2 linked regions of the Notamacropus eugenii genome follow. The protein of the gene in region 1 interacts with the protein of each later gene in a pairwise test. Links are inferred from orthologs where the notes say so. Each region holds a gene or a part of one and is shown in the gene's direction. Other genes may lie near its edges.

What was found.
Region 2: the proteins of DNAJA3 (region 1) and TCF19 interact in a two-hybrid assay, tested with the Homo sapiens proteins (2 studies listed by BioGRID and IntAct). The two-hybrid records come from large-scale screens. The link is inferred for Notamacropus eugenii from reciprocal best matches to the Homo sapiens genes DNAJA3 and TCF19.

Annotation. Positions count from the first base shown.
Region 1 is NC_092872.1:58,885,086-58,893,033, forward strand, and holds the start of DNAJA3 (dnaJ homolog subfamily A member 3, mitochondrial), read left to right. Parts: upstream 1-4,834; 5' UTR 4,835-4,887; coding exon 4,888-5,098; intron 5,099-7,948. UniProt on the Homo sapiens protein: Modulates apoptotic signal transduction or effector structures within the mitochondrial matrix. Affect cytochrome C release from the mitochondria and caspase 3 activation, but not caspase 8 activation.
Region 2 is NC_092873.1:85,011,462-85,019,659, forward strand, and holds the start of TCF19 (transcription factor 19), read left to right. Parts: upstream 1-5,188; 5' UTR 5,189-5,823; intron 5,824-6,254; 5' UTR 6,255-6,443; coding exon 6,444-6,681; intron 6,682-8,198. Other genes in the region: CCHCR1 (coiled-coil alpha-helical rod protein 1), read right to left, coding at 163-273, 525-660, 774-937, 2,095-2,398, 3,562-3,778, 3,871-3,937, 4,474-4,608. UniProt on the Homo sapiens protein: Potential transcription factor that may play a role in the regulation of genes involved in cell cycle G1/S transition. May bind to regulatory elements of genes, including the promoter of the transcription factor FOXO1.

The DNA of each region.
Region 1 (7,948 bases):
TCTAAAATCAGGACTTCCAAGTTCAGAGTACTAACTAACTCAACATGATCCCCAGGTCTCTCTCTACTTTGAGCAAATTACTTAATTGTAGACCAGAATCCTTTGTTTTTACCAACTCATGAAGTTTCTTAAACAGATACTCAGGAGGCTGCCAGAACTTGGCTTACAAACAGGAAAATAACCAGGATAATGGGGTTATGTATTTGATGATTTCATCGTTGCCCCAAGTCACACCTCAAACGACTCTGTTCCTCAGGAGGCTCTATGCAAAGTGACAATATCCAGGAGCACATATACTATAGACCTCTTGGAGTTTTGCCAGGAGAGATAGGCAAAGGAAAGATGGGGAAGAAAAAAAGAGAGGTGATCAGAACACACATTTGAGAAATTCTCAACCAAACATTACTATTATTGCTTCTTAAGTGAATTTCTCAAGGACTTGGAGTGAGGACTCTTCTGCCCTCTGTACCATTGTGGAACTAAATTAATGTCACCAAGAGAGCTAAAAAGATGGGGACCAGATGCATTTTTCATCTATGCTGGAAGAAGTAGCAGTCATGAAGACCCAAAACTGTGCAATTAACTCAATCTGCAATTGATGAGTTTCCAGAAGTATGGTCATTTGTAGCAAATAGGTCATCCTTCTTTTTTCCTCTTGGTGTGCTGAGTCCTTCTTCCAGACCCCTGTACATTTTGCCCCTGCCCTTGAACCAACTCACATTTAGATACTCTACAAGACTATATAGACACCTTCAGGTCAAGGAAGCTTTAAGGGTCCAATGGACTGTAAAGAGTTGCTAGCAAAATAATGAATTATAATAAAGGGGGCAAATATGTGCACATAAATTACTTTCATTCCATTGGGGTACAACATCTGAAATTATCTTTTTAAGGGTTGCCAAATTTTAGATCACATTCAACTCAACAAACATTTATTTTGCTTGGTACTAAGGAAGACACAAAGATCATCGGAACATGAACTTACAATGTAGTAGAGAAGGAACCACATACAACCACAAAACAAAACAGAACAAGATAAACACATAGGAAAGCTGTAAATCATGTGCTATGAAGGTCCAAGGAAGAATGTTTTCCATCTTGCAAAAGGCTTCCCAGAGGAGATGGGACCTGAGTTAAGATTTATAGGATTTGGAACTGGACTTAAGTATAAAATTCTCAATTCAACAAACATTTATTAAACATCTTCTTATGCAAGGCACTGAATTATACACAGATAAAAATAAAAAACCAAAACAAAGCAACCATCTATAATGGGGATTCAGTATGTACAAAGATAAGTAAGCAGAAAGTAATTCTCTTTAGCCCCTGAGAGCAGAACTCTAAGTAATGGATGGAATAGCAATCAATGGAAGAGAGACAGGTTCAGACTCAATAGAAAAATCTTCCTAAGAAGTAGGGTTAAGGTAGTAGTAGATGGCGTACAGGATCAAGTGCTGGACTTAAGAGTCAGAAGACCTGAGTTTCAATCCTGCTGTGAAATTTTTCTAGCTGTGTGATGGTAAATCTTTTAATGTCTCTCCAACCAAGTTTCCTCAGTTTTAAAATGGAGTAATAAAAAAACTCTGTTTTATAGGGTCGTAAAAATCAGATTTGATAATATAAATGGACTCTTACTGAGCCTAAGTGACAAATATGAATACAAAGAAGCAAAGAAAGATTTACATGTTCCAATGCAGAATGAAACAACATAACACTATCACTACAACTATATAAATGGAAAGAACAACAACAAAAAAAATCAAAAGTGAATACTGCAAAATTACAAATAACAAGCATGGCCCCAAAGAAGAGAAAGGATAAGACACTCTCACTCCATTCCTTTGTAGAGGTTGGAGGTCCACAAGTATAGTTAATTGTATACATTTTCATTTTTTTCTATGTATTAATTTTCGCTGATTTTTTCCCTGCCTCTGTTTTTCTCTTATTTGTTATATGGAAGGGGGTGGAGGTGTAGATTCTGGGAGAAATTCTGGTAACACAGAAAAACAAAATATACCAATACATATTTATTTTTTAAAATTGTGATAATACATGTGAAGTGCTTTATTAGCTATTATAATTAGCTGTCCCAAAGTGGATAAGTTACCTTGGAAGATAGCAAGTTCCCCTTTGAAGTAAATGCTGGATGACCAATTGTCAGCTATATTGTAGAGAGGATTGTTATTTAGATTTGGGCTGGACTTGATGGCCTCTGAGGTCCCTTGCAACTCTGAGATAATGTGATTTAGTTTGCTGGACATTGTTTATTTGGGAGTAAGGCTACTTTTCTTCTACAATTATTTTGTTTTTAAAATAATTTTTTAAATTGTTTTTTAAAATTATTTTTATTGGTTCCCTTTATAAATGATGTCAATTTCCAATTACACCCTCCTATGCCCTCACCCAATAAACAATTTCTTATAACAAATAATAACAAAATGAAAAAAAAAATGTAGTTCAGCAAAACTAACCAACACATCAACCCTACCTGACGGTATATGCAATATTTCACATCCATAGTCAATAAAGGGAGGCAAGTACATTTTCTCAGCTCTTCTCTGGAGCCAAGCATGGTTATTAATTACACAACACTGAGTTTTCTTTTTTGTTCTTTCTATTTACATTTTTGTGGATTTTTTTTCATATTCATGTTTTCATGAATTTTTCATGCTCATTCTTCCTTATGTTGAAAAAATACTCATGTATTCAAAGCTTTTCAGCCAATTCTCACTTAATTTCTAGTTCTTTACTATCACAAAAAATTTGGCAATGGCTAGTTTGTCATCTATTGGCCCTTTCTATCTTGGACCTCCTTGAGGTATATGCTTAATGATATTTCTGGGTTAAAAGGTGGGGACATCTTAGCTGCTTTTGTAACATAATTCCAAATTACTTTCCAAAATGGTTGGACCAACTCCACTAAAATGTAAAGCTAAGTCCTGATGAATGCAAATGATGAATCATATAAATAGTTGAATATATTTGAATTTACACTATTCCAAGATAAAATTATGTAAAATATGTTAACTGATTCCAGCCCAATTGAAATATGAAGTTAGAATTTGAATAAGCCAACTGCTTCACAATATCCATTCATTATTCATACTAACAGGGACCAACTTGCATTTTATACATACCTTATCATATCCTGTCCAATGATGGCTATTTCCATCATTCATCATCTTTGCTAATTCAGTTAGAATTCGGTAGAATTTAATATAGCATACCATGCCCCCTTAAAGATCCAGAGAGGAGGTCAGGGGGGCAAAGGAACTAGTGTACTTACGTTATCCTAGAAGCACATGGAAGTCTCCTATCAAAACCCATCCCTCTTTAGCTTTAGACTGGGGCTTGTGCCAACAGAAGAGAATGAGAGCCTGGCATTGGATCAGGTCAATGTCTCTGGACTCCACTGCGTTTGGGACAGACATCAGGCAGGAGGCAGTTCAGGCAGGCAGAATCTTGGAGACAGGAGGCTGCGCTGGGATTCACTGCAAAGCAGAAAGCAACTAGGAGAGCCCAGAGAAGAAACCAAAATAGACTCAAACTTAGAGCCGTCTGGTTCACCTTCTGTCTTTCTGCAAGGTCAGATGGGGCTCCCTACCTCCCACTTACACCTATGTGCATACACATTCCTGACACATACATGTTCACAGGTGGGTACGGGAGCTCCTGAGGGTCCTCAGAGGTGGGGTCTGCACAGGTCCAGGAAAGTTGAGTCAGGACAGACCCACGCTGTGCATACACACAGACACTGAGATGAGCTTTTGACCTGCCAGCTTTCCCCTACCAGAGCGCAGGTCTCTTGGGGTCAGGGCAGGTACATCAGATCTGAGGGTCAGTAAAGGGAGTTGTGTCTATCCCACAGGAAGCCCAGGCGTTTTTTCACATTTTCACATTCATTCCTGTGGATCTGACTGGATCAAACCAGTCAGTCCCAAAGAAAATCGAAAAATGTTAGGTAATAGACTCCGATTGCGGGACGAAGCATGTGGGCAGAGAGATACGTACAAAAGAACAGAACCTGGTGGGAGGGCAGAGGTCAAAGGTGGCTTCACAAAGGAGGCAGATTCCGAGACAGGATCTGTTCTGTCAAACTTGGCCTCTGTCCGAAGGCCGAACCCAAGGACCTAGAAGCCCCCAGGTAGCCTCGAGGCCGCAGGTCCCTTGGCCCTGCCCCGAAACAACATGCTCACAATTCTAGGAGAATTTCGCCATTTACAAACTGTTCCCGTTGCCAGAGCTGTGGGACGTGGGTGGTTTTATAGAAGCGGAAAGAAGCTCCAGAGGGGAGGCGACTTGCCCAAGACCACGCGGCCCTGCAACCCTCGAACCCTCGTCCCCCCAAGCCCACTGACGGAACAGTAATGCTCGAGCCCAGGAGGTCCGCCCGGCGAGGCTGGGGGTTCAAGTTTGCTTGTGGAACGGAGTAGAAAGCCTGGAACCTGAGACCAGCAAGTAACGGCGAAGACCGTGACCGCCTCTCAGGGTCACACTGAGGGGTAGGGCGCTTTGCTCCCTGGGATCCGTTCAGCGAGTTCACCGTAAGGCACTCTGGGAGATGTAGTTCCGCTAGTAGCGGCGCGATCAAATTCATTTTAGCCCAAGTTACGTGTAGCCCTCGCCTCTACTACAAAATCCCTGATCAAGGCCATCTTCCCAGTAGGTTTCTACGCAATTCCTAGTCTCAGTTTTGACCTCCCCGTTAAGGAATGAGTCATGCGTGCGCAACATAAACTGCTCCTTAATGCGCGTTCTGGTATTTCTCGCGGGAAAGGCAACAGTTGCATTCCTGGAATTGCGCATGCGCACGCGCACGCCCCTCCCCCTTTTCCCGGCGAGTCGTTCTAAGGCCGGCTCGCGCAGGCGCTGCGTCCCCAAGCCAAGATGGCGGCGAGGTGTTCCTCACGCTGGCTGTGGCTGGCAGTGGGGACCCCCCGGCTGCCGGCTGCTGCGGGGAAAGGGGCTCGGGTATCCTGGGAGGGCACCGTAGCGGTCTCTCTGGGTCGTAGGCTGAGCCAGGCAGCCATCTCGCCTCGTTTGGGAGTCTGCGCGTCAGGGAGACTCCTGACGTTGACACCCAGCGTCAGCCTCTCAGGTGAGGGGAGGCGTCGGCGCCGGGTCTGGAGGGCGAGGGAGCGACCTAGGGCGAAGTCACCCTCGCTTGGTCGGGACAAGTCGGGGAGGTGGGACCTGGCCACCGTGGGGCCCGGGGCCGTGTCCGAGGGAGCCGGCTGGGGGAGGGGAAGCGTGGCCCGGGCCCGCCTGAATGAGCCCGGGAGGCGGCGCCGGCTGTCAGCGTGTGACGGGGAGCCCGGAGTGGCGAGAGCGAGCGAGGGCCGCCCCTCGGAGCAGCCGGGGTGCGCCTCGGGCCCTCCTCTGGAGCGGGCGACCTTCCCCTGCGGGAGTGCGCCGGCGTCTCCCCAGGGAGCAGCGGCGTGGGGCCGGAGGAGGCGAACCGCAGCCTTTGGTCAGAAACGGCCGGTCCGGGAAGCGGGCCCCGAGGCTTCCCTTGGTTCCGGGGCCCTGAGTAGATCTAATGGAATAACGCGTATGAAGCCCACCAGGAGCCCTACAGCTCGGTATAGAAGCGAACTGTTACTGTGACGTTAGCCCACAGTGTCTGCCCCCACCACGTGTGCCTAGGCTTAGAGCGAAGTGAGCACGCAGAGGTAGCCAGTGGGAGAGTCAGGATTTGAACTTGAGGTCCTTTGACTCCAATAAGTTAGTAAACATTGCTTACTTTGTGCCAAGAACTGTGCCAAGAGCTGGAGTCACAAAGAAAGGAAAAAAAACCAGATCCTACCTCCAGGACGCTCACAATGTAATGGTATTAACTGGTTCTCTTCCACTGTGAGCCTGTGATCCATGATGGGAACCTGATTTTTCCTGTACATGTTTCTGCTTCTAGTCTCTAGCATACGGTTTCCTAAATCAGCCCAGAGTGTGTGTGTGTGTGTGTGTGTGTGTGTGTTAAACACACACACAGATACACACACGGAACACTTTATATTCTTTTTGCTGTTCAGTACTGGATGTAGAAGATGCTTGGTTTTTGTTGTGATGAGCATATCTCATATCTTTATATGGTGCTTCCCAATTTATAAGGGTGCTTCTCTTGGAACAACATTATGAACTGTAATTATCCCTGTTTCATTGATGGGCAAGATGAAATAATGTATGTAAAAGTACTTTGTAACTTTTTTTACACTGCATAGTTCTCAGTCAGTGCCCATAGTTACAAGGCTAGTAGGTGGCAGTGTCACTCTTAACTCAGGCCTTCTGACTGTACATAAAGCACTCCGCTCTGTACTAGGTATACAAACGGGAAGCAACAGAACCCTTGGAAATTGGCAGGCTTACAGTCTGATGGAGAAGCTAAGATATAAACCCCCCAAATCGTGACACAATGGACAGTAATAAAATAGCTAGCACTTATATAGTGCCTACTTTGTGCTATATACTATGTTAAGTACTTTACAGGTATCTTATTTTACAATTGAAGAAACTGAGGGAAACTGGTGAAGTGATTTTACCCAAGGTAGCTTAGCTAATCTGAAGCTGAATTTGACCTTTTCTTCCAGACTACAGCTCTGAGCTAAGAGGCATGAGGTATTGCTCTCATAGGGAAAAACATTGCTTTGGGGAGTTATGGAAGATATGGTGAAGGAGGCCTCTCTGCATCTTTTCAGGGACTTGTCAAGATTTTTGGCAAGTGGAAATGTGGAGGGAGTCCATTTAAATTATGGACCATAGCATATATAAATGCAAGAAGCAGGATGGAATAATGTCCTTAGTAGTATAAAGATAACCTTAAAGGCCAGGCATATTCTCGTAAAATAGTCACAAACTGATATCCCATTGTTATGTTTATAGTGTGTACTCAATAAATGATTTATACTTAATGACTTTTTGAGACCCATATTTTTTTTTCCAGAGTTAAAGTTATATTGTTTGGATATGAATCCAGAAGAGTTGACAAATGATAATTTTTTAGTATTCACTGTGTTCATGTCCTAAGAGTAGGCTCTTGGATATGGAAATTATATAAAGAACTTGAATAAATGGTGTTACGGCAGAATCATACTCACAATATCACCAATGCAGAGTTGGAAGGGACCTTAGAGGTCTGATGCCTTATTTTATAGATGAGAAATCTGAGAACTAGAAAGGTAGGTGACTTAGGATCATATACTCATATCTTTAGAGTTGGAAGGGACCTCAGAGGCCTTCTAGTTCAGCTTTGTCATTTTAGAGATAAGGAAACTGAGGCACAGAATGTAAACAACTTTTTCAAAGTCACACAGAAGTGTGTTTGGGTGAAATTTGAGCCCAGGTCCTCTGACTACTAATCCAGATCTCTCTTTAATCATTCTGTTTTACAATCCTAATTTTATTAAAAGACATTGAGTTACTTAGAGGCAACATGGTATATTGAATAGACTTGGCCTCCCAGACAGAAAGACCTGGGTTCAAGTCCCACCTCTGACACATACTGGCCATGGTGATCTTGGGCAAGTCACTTGATCTCTAAGTGCCCTCAATAACTCTAAGATAATAAATTGTAGAGGAGGTACCAACCTGCATTGGTAGAGGGATTGGGACTTTCTGATACCAGTGAAATACCAAGTCCATATTTTCCCCTGTCCCTCTCATTCTTATACAGTTTGTATTTGGGGACAGACCCACTAAAGTACCATACGTGAAGTTGAATGTAATAGGAGACTGAGTTACAAAATATCTAGTTTCACAATGTGATGTTTCAAATGTGTAATATTTATTAAAAGTACTGTATAAAGCTTAGCCAGTTTTTCTGATGGTTTTTCTTCTCTGTTTGTTTTCCTGATCTCCCTGCTAGACCTCTCCTCCAATTATGCAGTGATGCTGTATATAGCACTAGTTTCTACTCCTGGTTTCCATCAGGTTCAGTTCTTTCTTAGGGCTAACA
Region 2 (8,198 bases), on another chromosome or scaffold:
ACAAAAAGGTCAAGATAAGAGTGAAAATCTACAAAGTAAGAGGGAACATAGGGGCAAGAGTGAGGAGAGAAAGAGTCCAAGAGGAACTGGGCTGGTAGGGAAGTCCCAGATGGGACTCTTGCAGAGAGAATACTTGAATGCTATGAAGAGAGCCAAGCATACCTTCCGACCCAGCTCCTCTTCCTGTAGGGCAAGGATGTCCTGGAGGCTCTGCACTCGAACCTGTAGCAATTCCAAAGTGGTACACAGGGCATCCCGATCCTCCTGCAAATGCTGGCCAGGGAAAGGAAATTCTTATCTACAGTAACATCTTTGTACTTGTCCCTAAAATGTGCCTACTTCTCCCTCCCCTCAGGTCTCTGTGTACCACAGGGTAAAATCCCCTTCTAAACTAAGGACTATTTCCCCCCAGAAGCTATGCATATTCATCAGCTCCAAAAGAATCTCTGTATCCACCTCCAATCTCCCAACCCACATCCCCATTTCCACCCCCCAAGGATAAAACCACTGAGCTTATCTCTCACCTGCACCGTCTCCAGCAGCTGCTTCCTCTCCTGCTCCCATGTCTGGTTCTTGCTTTCTGGTGGGACTTGATCCCCTACGTACCTCCTAAGCTGCTCAACAAGGGCCACCTGGGCCTTGAGATCTGAATGCGCCTTACTAAGATTGGTGAGTAGGAGTGAGAAAGTAAAGGCTATCAGTGAAAGACCCCAGAAACATGCTCTTCCTACATAGCTGCTGACTACTTTTATTGACCCTATATTCCTCCTCACCTTAGTTCCTCCCTTAACATCTTAGCCTCCCTCTGTACAACGGCCAACTCCTTGGTCTCTTTTTCCCTCTTAGATTCCATGGTCTTGAGTTTCTCCTCCAACTCATGGGCCTTGTTGGCCAGGGTAGCAAGAGCTTCCTGGTGAGCTGCGGTCATTTGAGAGATCTCAAGAAGAAAACAATGACAGAGCAGGGGCTGAATTGGAAGGAGCTTCTCATCTTTCCTCTAAAAGTTCCCACTTCCTCACTCAAACTCCTTCCTAGTGGCCTACTTCTCTTCGCTTCCTATCTCCCTTCCCTTCCTGGGCCTCTATTTCCATCTTCCCCACTCTCTTATTTTAATTAATATAATACCTGACAAACATGTATTAAATGGCTACTGTATTTAGAGCACTGTGCTAGGCATTGGAGCAGATATAAAATTTAGACTAAGAAATTGTCCCTGATCTCATCAAGTTTATAGTCCAAGGGAGGAATGACAGTGCTATGTGTGAGGAGAATGAGGAAAGTTGTGAGTTTGAGGTGTTTTGTTTATTTGTTTGAGCAAGAGGCATGTAATCTAGTTTTTAAAGAATGGGTAGGAATTCAGTAAGCAAGGAGGCACTTCAGGTAGGCACTGAGTACAATTTGAATAAAGGTATGGAAGTAGGAAAGAACAGGATATGTATGAAGGACAATCCAATGTAGCTGAAGCATATACAGTGTATGGAAGGGGGTAATATGAAATAAGACCAGAGGGTTTAGGCAGGCCCAGATTCTGGACAGTCTTGAAAGCCAGACTAAGGAGTTTTAACTTTATTTAGGCAATAGGGAACTACTGAAGGATTTTGAATAGAAGAGTGACTCAATCAAATATACATCTGACAAAGAATATTAGGAGGGCGACAATGTGAAGGATACATTGGAATGGAGAGGGAGGGAATAGTGATGGAAGAAGACATGTTAGGAGACTACAGCAATATTCTAGGCAGATAGTGTTTGGGGTCCATTTTAACATGAGTTCCAAAAGGAAAATAGGTAGAATATTTGAGTACTAAGAAGTAAATGAAAGTTTTGGGAGAGAAGCAGGATATCTGAATTCTGAGAAGTGGGGAAAGAGAACAAGGAGGATGAATGGAGAGAACCCTATCCTAACAGCCCCAGCCTGCTTCCTTCAGGTTCTGCTTTACTCTCAATTCTCAACATCTTCCTGGCCAAGCAGATTACTATTCTAATTGAATATCAAAGGATCTTTGCTAAAGTGATTATCTCAGATTAATTCCCTACCATGTGGAACTGAGACAAATCCCAACTAACACCTAGTATTTTCTTATTCTCATTCACCTGTTCCTTGTGCACCCTCTGAGTCTCTTCAAGCTCTTGTCTGTTTCCTTCTTCCAATTTCTTCCGAATGAGCTCTGCCCCAGCCAAAGCAGCACGAAGCTCCTCCACCTCAACCCGCATTGCCTGTTTTGCCTGTCCTAAGACTTCCAGCTCCTCACCCTGGCTTGCCAGATGAGCCTTCTGATGGACTGAAGCCAACCGCAAAGCCTGGCTCTCAATCTCAAGTCTCCGAATCTCTTCCAGTTGTTGAGAGATCATTTCAGTTCGGGAATTCAAGCCTTGTGGCCCTACATAGTCCAGGGACCTTTGGGGAAAGTTATAGGTGAGATATGGCCTCTTTGGTCTTACACAAGAAAGGGATGGACAAGAGGGCCGCTCTGTTTCCATCTAGGTAGTTATGAGGACTTCTCTGATCTGATATGTAAGGATAAGGAAGTGAAAAGGGTGCCTCGGGGGAAACTGGAAGTCAGTCAGACACACAAGAGGATGCAAAACCTGGAAACAGTAAGGATTCTGTGATCTACTCCTTAAACATTTACTTAGCACTTTTTATGTGTAGGATACTAAGCTAGATGCTGGGGATACAAAAAGGTATGTACCATAATCTATACCTTTAAGTGTACTTAACGGGCCTTATCCTAGTTGAGGGAAGGCATTCACATACGTAAAAAGATAACAGTTGCATCTATTGCATAGTTGCATCAATTAAGTGTACCTCATGAATGGTACAATGAGTGCTAGGATATCTGATTCACAAGTAGATGAAGACATTATGAATCTAAGAGTTCGGCTTGAGGTGGAAAAGGAAGGGATACTCAGTCTTCTGTGCTCTGGTTTGAGAGAATGAGGAGCCTGAACTCCAACCTGAGGTAGGGGCAGAGAAGGCAATGGATCCTCTTGTTCTAATGTGACAAGAATAGGGGCTGGTTAATAATTTATTGAGCATTTACGGTATAAATTCTCCTAAACCTTCTGAGAGGAGGCAATAAAAATAAAAGACATGATCCCAGTCCTTGAGAAACAGCTCTAATATCATCACAATGTTATTTCAGAATCCATGGCTGCCTTATAACAAAGTCCTTTGGTAATTCAGGAGCAAAAACAGTAGCGGACAGGATCTAAGATAGACCTGCCTGTAACTCCACTCTAAAATCAATAATTTTATTAAGACATTAAATTTAGAAGAGTCAGGATATACACGTGAGACAAGAAAAAATACAAAAGATCAAATAATACAGTTCAAATTTCATACACAAAAGCAGAAGGTACACAGAATTTTAAAAAATCAGAACTGTTTGTTTTCTATCTTTCTTACAAGGGAAGGCTTGTGGGGTAAGATAGGAGAGAAGGGTATATATGGAAATTAATGGAAAATAAAAGAAAAATCCATCAATTAAACTTTTAAAAATAATTAACACAGAAGTGAAGAACAATTACAGGCAGAAGCTAGAATAACTAGATCCCTACCTGGTCCTTCTTTTGGGATCCTCACTATCACCTGCCCCATCTTGTTCTCTCAAAATTTGTAGTCTATGATGCTCCCATCTACGATCATTGTTATCATAGCCGTGATGGGGTGAAGGCAGGACTATGGGTAAGGGTGGGGACTGGACAGAAGTGGTCCTGGACATGCTTGGAAGGGGCCGTGTTTGGAAATGAGATGGAGGCATGAGCCCAGTGAGACCTGAGTAAGCAGAGGACAGAAAGGTCAATATTGAAGGTATAGAAATAGGGTATGCAATCTCCAATTCCATAATCCATCCCTATCCCTTTTACCTGAAGACTGGAACATCCCAAAAGTGGATGGGGGTTCCAGGTTCTTTCTCCAGCCATCCATTTTTTCCTGTGGAGCAAGAGAAACACCTCAAGCTCCAATTCATTTTCCAAGGTTCCAACCAATCCCTGGGAAAGATCCTATGATAACCTTGCCAATTCCTTAGGTAATTTAACATCTATCCAGTTATCATTTCTTTCCTTCCCCTCCCCATCCCTATCACCCTCATTTTTGAAAGTGACAAACTGGAACATCTATGAAATAATCAGTGGCTGGCTCCCACCTAGCTTTGATAAGAGACTCCATAACACAAAACCCACGATAAAAAATAATTTTCTAAGGGAAGCAGGATCTAGGATTAAGGCCTCCAGACCCCTGAAGGTCTACATGGCATTCATAGGACTTGGGTAGCGCCTTTCTCTCCCCTTTGGGCTCTACTTTTCTTATTCTGTGATCTGAAGGTGAGTGAGCACGTACGGAATTAAAGGGCTAGGGAAGCAGCTCCACTGGATGGTTTGCTCAGGGTGGCCCCGGGGGTTAATCCCCTCCCCCCCACCATTATTCCCAACACTGATTTCCCACTCCCCATCAAAGAGTCAGCATACTGCTTGGCACCAGACGAAGTCTGTAAGATGCAGAGATCTCGAGTTACCATTAACAGCAAAGCAATTTTCGGAACCATCTTCCTGGGTGAGCAGGAAGTCTAACAGTCCTTTGCCCATGTGGGGCCTTCTGCTCATCTCTAGCCCCTGTTAGTTTGTCTTTCATCCCACCCTGATGCTCTCACTTTCTCTCTCTATGGCGCTTACCATCCACTCCAGCCGCCCTCCTCCCCGCCTCTCCTGCACCCCCGTGCCCCGCCCCCTCTCTCACCCACTTTGTTCCCCGTCCTACGCTCCCCCCTCCCTCCCTCTAATTTGCTCGGCCCGGGTCCCGTCACAATTGCAGCTCTCTGGCCGCCCCTCAGCGCCCCCGCTTCCCCCAAGCCTCCCCTAGCTCCTGCTCCCTCTTCCCCGGGCCCTTCGTGTCCCTCCTCGCCCCGTTCCTCGTCTCTCGGTGCCCCCTCGCCCCACGGCCCCAGACCTCCAGCACTTCCTTTGCCCTGCCCCTGTCCCCCTCAGCTCCCTAGTGCCCACGTTCCCTTGCCCCCCTCCACCCCTTCCCGCCCTCAACTGACTCACTCTCGTGCCCCCTTACCCAGCGCGAGACCCCACCCTCCCCTTGTTGCCCCACCTCCGCCACAAAGTACCCCGCCCTCCACAGACTGACCGCGCTTGCGCAGAGCGGGCCAGCCGGCGGGCTCCGGGACCCGCGTACTTCATTCGGAATGGGGAGGGAGGGAGGACGAATCGAGACACGCAAGCGCCGTGGCGTCCATATGGTGAACCAATCCAGGGACTCGGCCTATCCCCGCGCCCTTACAGATCCCTCCTCCCCACCGAGCTCCTCCTCCTTTCCCTGAAACCCGGGAAAATTCAATGGCCAATCGGGAAGCGAAGAAAGCGGTCGCGCCGGGTCCTTTTTGTGCCTTTCCTGACTACCGCCCAATGGGGTCTGGGCGATGGAATGAGGACTGTCCAATGGGGAAATGGCATCGGGAGGGGGCGGGGTATCTGAGGCGCGCGGAATTCGGGCCCGGGGAGTTTGCGAAGGTGTTGGACGCTCGCCTGTCCTCGGAGGCTCCGCCCAGCTCCGCTCCGGGCCCGGCTTCTGCCTGAGCCCTCTGCTTTTGCTAGCCCTGTCAAACTTCAGCCCGAGCGTGCGCGCGGGGGACAGGGTGGGGTGGGGGTCCTGTGGAGGGGGGACTGGGGTCCTAGCCTCCTCGGTCGAGGTTTGTATTGCCTGAGGGAGGGGCACGGCACGCTGAGATTGTCCGGCACTGATTGATCCGAAATTAGGCTGCCCGGGCTGGGGGGACCCGCGTTTGCATTGCTTCGGAAGCAGTAGGACCCCAGGTTTGCATTGCACTCCAGAGGGGAGGGAGGTAAGGGATCTTGCTTCGCTTTACTCCAGAAATAGGGATCCTCAGCCCGCATTTCCGGGGTTGCAGTCTTATCACCTTGAAAGGTTCTTAAGCCCCCTGACAAGAGTGAGGTGTTGAGCCAGGAAAGTTGCGGGGGGAGGACCTCTGGAAAAGTCCTTTTGAAAGAAAGGGCCCCCTCGCCCCCAATTGCACCGAATAACTAAGTTATTATTAAACAGTGGTGGAAACCGGCCTCATTACGATCCCTACTGTTACATTGTACCAACTGAGTATACAATAGTATCCAATACTCCGGGTGTTAGTTAGTTTCACGGGTTACGAGCCGGTCCTTAATTTAGCCTGATACATCTTCCCTAGTTTTGCATTGCACCGGGGATGACACCTTAATTTTTTTCTTTCAAGGCCAAGTTGTCCCCCTCGGTTTGCGAGCTGAATACCTTCCAAATTTTCGTTGTACTGAACCGAATTGCACAAGAATTGTACTCCAAGTTTGCATCTGAACATCTCTCCATTTTTAATTACCCAAGGGTAGAAAGAGCTATGTATTCCCTGACTTTAGAAGGGAGTCCATAGGGGAAAGCCCCTCCCCCCATGTTGCCCTGCTTCCAGCTGCTTCGCATGGGGGTTGGGAAGGGTGGAGATCTCTATACTTTTCACCCTCCCACTGGGGCTGGCTGTACCTACCACTTGGGCCTCAGAGCTGACCTGTGTGATGTGGCCCTTCGGCCCCAGTGTGAGCCTGTCCTCATCTCCCCGGTCCATGCCAAGCTGCATGCTGAAAGCCAAGGTGACGACTGGAGAGTCAGCCTGGAGGACTGCAGTAGCTACGGTGAGCCTGGACGTGGCTGGCTCTCTTTTTAGGCAGATAGGTATAAATAGGTATGGTATGATTTGAGAAGTACCCTAGGACCCAATTGTCATTGCCACTCAGATTCCTCCTCTAGATTAGACAGCAAAGATCAAAAGACTTAAGTTGTCTCCAAAAGGTACCTGCTGTCTGTTAGGGTGATGTGCTATATGTGATATGTGTGTATATGGATGAAAGCCTTTCAGAGCAGATTAATTCCATGGTTGAGTTATGAGATTAGTTCCATATTTATATTTTATTACAGAATTGTTGCATTTATCCCATGTCACTTGATCTTTAAAACAATTGTGTGAGGTTTCCCCATTTTATAGTTTTCTGAGATTCAGATTAAGTGACAATTCATGTTTCTATAGCACTTTAAGGTTTATTGGTCATTTTCCTACCAGCAATCCTGTGAAGTGTAGGGTAAATATTATAATCTTTGTTACAGGGACTGCTTACTAGGTAAGGGGATACAAATAAAGAAACTGGGTACTAACTATGCTTTGCCCAAGGTCACATAGTTAGTAATCGTCAAAAGGTTACTAGAGCTCACTCTTTCACACTCCATACACACTGCCTGTGTTTTAGCAGATCAGCAAGCTTGCTCACCTTGGAAAGTATAAAACAGGTCCCAAGGGAACTGTACACAAGATAACAATTTTATTGCGGAGCAAGAAAAAAGGGGGTGAGTGGGGTTCAGTTCTAGAAGAGAAGAGAAAAGGCAGGGAAGCTCTGGCACAGGTTTTCCAGGAGTTGGCAATGAAATTAAATAAATATAGGGACTTTTTAAGATCACATCTCCAAGGTACACTCCCTCTGCTGCTCACTATTAGTCCAGGTTCCCAAGGCTTTAGTATTTTTCTTTGTTACTTTGGCCTGACCATGTTGTTCAACCGTTTAGCTGTCTGACGTTTCATGCCCTCTGGACTTTTATCCAGGGGTTTTCTTGGCCCTTGCAATAGCCATTTCCTTCTACAGTGGATTTAGGCAAACAGATTAAGTGATCTGCCCAGGGTCACACAGTTTAAGAGACCAGATTTTAATTTAGATCTTTCTAACTCCCAACCTATCCACTGAGTCATCTAGCTGTCAATAGATTTCAGGAAAGGTTCCTTTTGATCCAGAAGATTTTTTAATGTTTGACCCAAAAGAAATAGGAGGTTTCTTCTGTGTCTCAGAAGCCTCAGGGAAGCCCTAAGGTCCCTATTGGTGGGAGGGGGGAATCCCAAAACTAAGATTGTCCCTGTTTGGAACAGGTCTGGGTGTCTAACTAGCCCCATTGGTTTCTTATTGTCAGTGAAGACTGAGTCTTTACAGAATATGATTTTAAAAGGACAGGGGAAGAATTACTAACTCTTTCCATTCTGTGCTAACTTTGTTAGGAAACCCCCAGGAGCAGTGAGCTGAGATGATTGGGGGAGCCAATCCCTTCAGTTTACCTGGAGCCAGGCAGGATAGGAAACTAGAGAGAATGCCTAGTTATGCCTGTGAACTCA